Linked DNA regions of Caenorhabditis elegans. The protein of the gene in region 2 interacts with the protein of the main gene of each other region in a pairwise test. Each region holds a gene or a part of one and is shown on either strand. Other genes may lie near its edges.

What was found.
Region 1: the proteins of F54D5.7 (region 2) and snr-5 interact in a two-hybrid assay, tested with the Caenorhabditis elegans proteins (one large-scale study listed by BioGRID).

Annotation. Positions count from the first base shown.
Region 1 is NC_003281.10:7,860,114-7,863,314, forward strand, and holds snr-5 (putative small nuclear ribonucleoprotein F), read left to right. Parts: upstream 1-1,956; 5' UTR 1,957-1,958; coding exon 1,959-2,055; intron 2,056-2,105; coding exon 2,106-2,208; intron 2,209-2,315; coding exon 2,316-2,373; 3' UTR 2,374-2,461; downstream 2,462-3,201. Other genes in the region: cuc-1 (Copper transport protein ATOX1), read right to left, coding at 492-619, 666-738, 818-826; putative transporter slc-17.3, read right to left, coding at 2,529-2,774, 2,827-2,980, 3,029-3,119, 3,164-3,201.
Region 2 is NC_003280.10:11,545,542-11,549,902, reverse strand, and holds F54D5.7 (putative glutaryl-CoA dehydrogenase, mitochondrial), read right to left. Parts: upstream 2,387-4,361; 5' UTR 2,379-2,386; coding exon 2,333-2,378; intron 2,282-2,332; exon of another isoform or gene 2,132-2,281; intron 2,007-2,131; coding exon 1,866-2,006; intron 1,811-1,865; coding exon 1,495-1,810; intron 1,445-1,494; coding exon 718-1,444; 3' UTR 591-717; downstream 1-590. Other genes in the region: dnj-13 (DnaJ homolog subfamily B member 13), read right to left, coding at 2,932-3,061, 3,119-3,846, 4,052-4,189.

The DNA.
Region 1 (3,201 bases), on a different chromosome or scaffold from region 2:
ACTCATTGTTTTCTTCTTTTATTAATAAACAGTTAAAGTTTCCTTGAGAACAATGTGGTTGAGCAACGCGAACAAATCATCAATGTAAATTTCAGCGGATTCGTTACGACGTGTCTCACCACATCGTTAGTAGGATTTCAGAACACATTAAGTAGAAATCAAGAGACGCGGAATAGTGAAATGAAAATGCGACGTTTACCTTTCTGAGAAGGACGGTTACACCGGATGTACGCGTCGACGCTTTAATCTAATAAGGATAAGGTTCAATGCATGAAAAGGTGTTTACATTTGAAACCTTCTATTTCGGTTAAAAGAACTCGAATGAAATATTGCATCAGAAAATCTATAGTTTAGAAAATGCGTTTATTTTTAGAATAGGACAATTTTACAAGCAAGAGTCATAAATTAATACAAAAATTACAGAAATGTCAAAAAATAACGATATTCACAACCATTCGGATAGAAATTAAAGAGACAATCAAAAGGGTCATTTATTGTAGTTGCTTGATCTCTTTTCCTGTTTTCTTCAGAGCTTCAAGTACATCAGATGCTGGTAAATCAGTTGTAACTGTGATTTTCTTGGTTTCCACGTTAATATCGTCAATTTTGATTTTGTCTTCTGTAGAATAATAGGATTAATTTGATTAACAAAAAGTAAACCAAACCTCCAAGCTTTCCTAGAACTTTTCGCGCAGCATTTGCACAGCCATTGCATGTCATGCCCATTTCGAAAACGTACTGAAAATGTTCAAATTATTTTTTTTTTCACAAATATGAGAATATTTAATTGTAATTTGTAAAAAGTTAAATAATTTACCTGTGTCATGATATTTGTTGAGTCAGAAATCTGGAAACTCTGCTTCTGCTTGCCTGAAAAACGTTAATTTGAATGATTGGAATTAGTACAGTCGAAAAGAAATGAACAAAGAGACGCAAAATGGAGAGACAGTGATAGGGCGACTCGTGGTCAATGCTTTATCTCTGAGAATTTGCATCATTCGACATTTTTTGATCAAGTTTTCAAGAAACTGCGATAATTAAAAAAGGAACTATTGAGATGGGACAACTCGAATGGTTTAAGCAACTTTTAAATGTTTTCCAGTTTTTTTTTTTACTTTTTGGAAAAATTTATGGAAAAATGAGAAAGAAGCTTAGAAACAGGATAAAGACACCAAATGACGTCACAGCTTTGCATTAATGCATCTTCTCTATTTTCTCGGCGTCTCACTCATCTTCTACTTTGAAACGAGCGTTTTTATGGGGTGAGAAAATTATCGATTTTAAGGGTGATCAGTTAAAGAGAAAAATAAAGACGATAACATTTTGATGGAGCCTGTTAAATGTTGTGAATTGGAAGAAATAGAGCCTTATATAAAGAACTGTTTTATCATCTACAGTAGTCCGAAAGCCATTTAGCAGGATATTCGAGGCTGAAGAGAAGTTAACTATATTTAGATAGCATAACTTATTAAAACTCAAAAAGTACAAGGACATTGAAAAAGCGGAAAATACAAATACTCAGTTTAAATTAACTAAAAAACCAAAACCCACATCTTTTTCATGCATGATGCATGGGTATGATTAATTTTATGTCGTCAAGTATGGTGTCGCATACGCAGTCTGCAGTATGTCGTATTATCTGATGCTAGCGCAACTTTCGAAAATTCAAGGTTCTTTTTTCATTTTTATGGAGGATTTCGCAGCGTTTTAACCTTTTTAAATGTGTTTTGTTGAGTTTATGTTTATTAAAACAACTTTGTCACTATTAGAAAATAGATACATCTTTCCATCTCACTGAAAAAACCGTCAGATGGGTTTTAAACTTCTTAAATTGTTCAAACATAACAATTGTGATTCGGAAACGCTTTGAATGTATTTTTATTGCTTAAATTACTTGTGTCCTTCACTATTTTCGATATCCCTCGTTTCAAAATATATTATTTAAAAATATTTCAGAAATGTCCGCAGTTCAACCAGTGAACCCAAAACCGTTCCTCAACAGTCTCACCGGAAAGTTTGTCGTTTGCAAACTGAAGTGGGGAATGGAGTACAAAGGTTTGTATTGACATAATGAAATATTTCACCAAAAGCGCCAAATGTTTAAGGTGTCCTTGTTGCTGTCGACTCCTACATGAATCTGCAGCTGGCTCACGCCGAGGAGTACATTGACGGAAACAGTCAAGGAAATCTCGGAGAGATTCTTATCCGGTTGGTGCATTTTTTAAAAGAAAAAATTCAAGCCGTAGAAACTAAAGTTATTACAATCTTATGCACATTTATATCGTAGTAAATCTTGAAAAATGTTCTAACTTTAGATGCAACAACGTTCTCTACGTGGGAGGCGTGGACGGAGAAAACGAGACGAGTGCCTAAATTCTTCAAACCCTTCTCAACAATTGATCTTATGTTCACAAGTTTTCTGTCTTTTTCGCACATTCTTAATCAATAAATTATAATTATCTTATTAAAGAAGTTTTTAAAATATTTATTAAATGAAAAAAAAAATCATCAGCAAATTATGTAAATTATCAAAGACACAGCGAATCCTCTTTCACCAACGTGGCGCTCATTTCATTTTTGACATCTACTTCTTCAACAACTACAATACCATTCTCAATTGTCTTCAGCTTCTCTTTCTCATTCATCTCCTGATCATCCTCAACTTTAGCCCAATCTTGTAATTCTCCTGATCCGAATAACAAGAATATTGAACCAGAGAAAATATGTGCCAGTGAGCATCCTATGAAGATATTCTGCCACTCCGCAGCGGTTCCCTAAGAATATGGATAGCAAGTAGATTTGTCAAAAATCTCTAAAATAGCTTACGTCTTTTCTGAACATGCTCATGACTGCAGGAGTTGTCAATCTACCAATCATTGCAACAAACATTGAAATTGCAGACATGGTTGCAGTATATTGTGGTGCCAAACTGAGTAGTGATGTGTAAAATCCACTCACAAATGTTCCCATTGAGCTATACCTGAAGACTTTAAATTTGGAAAAGTCGCTGAAAAGTATCGAAACTCACATTAAACAGAAGAAAATAAGGCCAGTTGTTGGATTAGAGCAATCGACAAAGAATGCAAGTAAAATAAGTGAGAAGGAACTCCCAAAACTTGCTGAAATAAATACTATTTCTGGAAACTTGCAAAAATCAACTGACCAACACCATGTGATACCTTTACAGCTTTAGTATTACTG
Region 2 (4,361 bases):
AATTATACAGAGTTCGAGACCAATTTCCATACAATTCACAGATAACTAATGTAATCTTATAAATTTCCAAATTCTGAAAATTCTTAAAACATCATTGTTTAAATATCCAATTATTTGTAATTCAGCTAGATTTCAACTCGGAGCGTTTCATTTTTTTTTGTTGATATTTTCGGATTCCCCTGTGAATATGGTTGTTTTGGAAATAAAAGTAAAAATTTGAACACAATTTTTAATTCTATAGCTCATATCTATTTAAAGAAAATTAAATATATTTAGAAAGAGTCGAGAGAGTGGGTACTGTAGTTGAAACATTTCATTCGTGTCGAGACCCACCTGAATTGTTTCAAATAAATGCATAAAAGACTTGCAGGTCATTGCTGAAATTTATTCAAAGTTATGTAAAAGTTTCTGATTTTCTGGAATTTTAATTCAATATTTATAATTTGGCATTTGGCTGAGTATCAACTCTGTGCACTCCTTTGTGATACGGAGCGTAATAAATTTGACAAAACACCACGTTTTCTAACTAAATTTTATGTTTTCAGACTCTCCTCGAAAGGCTGATCTAATTGAGCAACAAGAAAGAATTTCCAACGTGTGCTACATATTTATTGAAACTTCAATATTTTTGGGAATGAAATAAAACTTTTTGCGTTGAAAAGCAATAGACTATGACAAGACTAGACAATAAGTGAAAAAAGGAAAAAAAAGAAAAAATTAGCAGAATCCGTTGAGTCCCGTGATGGCTCTTCCAAGGATCAGAGCATGTACATCGTGTGTTCCTTCATAAGTGTTAACTGTCTCCAAATTCACCATATGTCTCATAATATGGTACTCATCCACAATTCCATTTCCACCAAGCATATCTCTCGCCTTTCGTGCCACCTCGAGAGCCTTTCCACACGAGTTTCTTTTGATAATCGAGATCTGCTCTGATTGAACTTTTCCCTCATCTTTCAGGCGGGACACACGAAGGCATCCTTGAAGACCCAAAGAGATTTCAGTTAACATATCAGCCATCTTCAACTGCATCAGCTGATTCTGTGCAAGTGGGCGTCCGAACTGTTGGCGATCCAAAGTGTACTGGCGTGCGAGATGGAAGCATTCTTCAGCTGCTCCGAGAGCACCCCACGCGATTCCGAGGCGTGCGTTATTCAGGCATCCGAATGGTCCTTGAAGCCCTTCAGCGTTCGGGAGAAGATTCTCCTCTGGTACTGGAACATCATCCATTGCAATCTGTCCAGTGATCGAGGCTCTCAATGAAAGTTTTCCTTCAATTTTTGGAGTCGTCAGTCCCTTCATTCCACGTTCCAGGATGAATCCCTTGATTTTATTGTTGTGGCGAGCACTTCTCGCCCAAACGACCATCACATCAGAGACAGGGCTGTTGGAGATCCAAGTCTTCGATCCATTCAATTTGTAGGTTTTTGTGGTCTCATCCCAGCTGAAAAACACAAGAGTTTTGAAAATGAATCAAATATTTTCTAGACTTACGTGGCCTTTGTCTCCATTCCTCCTGGATTAGATCCATGATTCGGCTCGGTCAATCCGAAGCATCCGATCTTCTTTCCACTCGCCAAATCGGGAATATATTTCTGCTTCTGATCCTCACTTCCGTAGTTGTAGATCGGTCCGATCACCAGACTCGTTTGCACACTCATCGTAGATCTGTATCCCGAATCGACTCGTTCCACCTCACGAGCGATGAGTCCATAGCCAACAGTTGATGTTCCAGCGCAGCCGTATCCTTGATATGGGGCGCCCAACAGGCCCATACTTCCCATTTCCGGAATCAGGGATGGGTCGAATTCTGGAAATCAAGACTATGGTAAAATTAAATAAGAATTCGGTATGGAGTGTCTCACTTTCAGTTCTGTAAGCTTCTGTGACACGTGGCAAAAGTCGCTCCTGACAGTATTCCCGAGCCGAGAGCATCAAAGATCTTTCGTCTTCAGTGAGCTGATCCGAAAGCTGGAAAGCATCTTGGTAGAACGTCGACGAGAGACCTGAAATATTTGGAGGGTGAGCTCAAGTTTGAGAATAATTTTTTGGGTGTAGTCGAATTTAGACGATATGTAAAAACGATACATCACAAAAATTTCGTTAACGTGAGTTATGGCTTCGAAATAGCGAATAATTCTAAATTTTTTGAACTTCGCGCGCGAACGAGCGCCCTCTGCGTGTACTCCTCTCGGACAATCATATAATTAATATGTTGATTATTGTTTTCGGCTAATTTTAGGTGATTGTTGCGGTTTTTATTGTATTTTTACAGCAGTCTTAATTAAATTCGACTACACCAGCCTTAAATATTAACTGAAACATTAATTACCTCTACTTGCAATCTTGCCAATTGACGTGAATCCTCTGGTCAGCATTTTTGCCGCTGCAAACTGGTAAAGAATGATGATGGTGTGCCCTCATCTCCTTTCTTTCAACGCCCGATATCATCTTTTACCCCCACGTGGCCAAGGACAAGACAATCGATACGATGAGGAGACAGATCAACTGAACACACGAAAATCACAAAACTTTCTTTTGCTTTAATTTAAAAGTTTATTTATCGGAAATGTTGATAAGGAAGCACGAATTAAAATTGAAAGAGGGGGCGGTTGAGGGGGGATACAATTACACCGAGTATCTTGTCAATGAAGGTTTTCATGTCATTAGAATGAGACTTGATAAACGATAAAAAATGCATCTGAATAACTATGGGCAATATGTGTGAGATGGGTAATTAACAATGAAACATGGGTGATAAAAAGAACAACATCCTAATAAAAAATCTCTTAAATACCCGCTTGAAAACATCGAACAAGGCGACTGAATACTGCTAAATCGAATCCAATGGCAATCAAGAGTGATTGTTTACCCGTCTTGGTTCGACTGTAGTTGATTGATAAGCAAGAGAGGGAAAATTGAAAAATGCGATTAGAAGTTCCTCAGAATCACTTCCCGTTGAGTTGGATTGAGTTGTGATGGGAATTCCACGTCAAACTCAATGATTAAATCTCCTCTGTGAGATGGAGACTTTGGATTTGGAAGTCCTTTTCCAGTCAGCCTGAAAGAATTAAAATTAATAATTTACTTCTCGTGAATCTCAAAATTTTTAACCTACCGTCTTGTAGTTCCCGGCTTAATGACATCGTTCAATTGAAGACGGTAGTCTGCTCCATCCAACGTTGGAATCATAATATCAAGGCCAGTCAATGCAGACTTCAGGGAGATCTTTTCGACGCGTTTGATGTCAGATCCCTCTCGCTTGAATTTCGGGTGTGGCTTATCCTTGATGACGAAGACTATGTCGGCGGGAGTTCTGTTCGGGTGCTGATCACCTTCTTTTGGGAATGTGATCTTTGTGCCTGACTTCCATCCTGGTTTAATAGTGACCGTCAAAACTTTGTCTTCTAGGCGTTGAGCATTGTCCGTCATAACTTTTCTTGTAATCTTCATCTTCTTCGTTGTACCTTTCAGTACATCCTCCAAACTGACAGAAAGATCATGGAGCACAGCAGGATCTTGACGAGCATGTCCACGTCTTCCACCTTGATGCATGCCGCCGAACATACCGTCATCCATACCACCTTGATTCATGAAGAACATATTCGGGCCTCCGGCTCCACCACCAAGATCAAACATTCCAGGTCCACCAGCACCGAACGGATCGGATCCTCCAAAGAATGATGAGAAAATGTTCATTGGGTCTCCACGGAATTCGTAGTGCATTCCACCGCCGCCACCACCTCCGGCTCCTGGTCCACCTTCCTTTAGTCCTTCCTCTCCGAATTGATCGTAAATCTTCTTTTTCTTATCATCGGAAAGAACATCGTAAGCTTCGGCAATTTCCTGTAATTAAAAAAAATATTATTTCAGGTTAACATCAATAAATTCCCAGAAAAACTGCAATTTTACTGGGATTTTCTATATTTTGATTAAAATCGTTTTTAAATCGAGTGCTTAAAAATAACAACTTGGTCATGAAAAGTACAGTATCCTTCACCGAGGACCAAAAACTTTTTTTTAAATTAGAAAACTAAATTTTAAAAAATACCTTGAATTTGTTCTCAGCTCCAGCTTCCTTATTCTTATCCGGATGGTATTTCAAAGCCATTTTACGATAAGCCTTTTTGATTTCATCGTCTGTTGCACCTTTGCTGATGCCCAGCACTTTGTAGTAGTCTTTTCCCATTGTGGAAAGTAATCTGAAAAGAAATCATATGAATTTTTGAAATATTAACCAGTAACAGGTTAACGGAATAAATGAAGCAACAGATAGATAAAAAGAATACACCCGGCAGAATAAATATGGGTCAACATCAGAAGAGGAAACACGGAGAAATGGAAGAGAGAGTGCGCCGAAT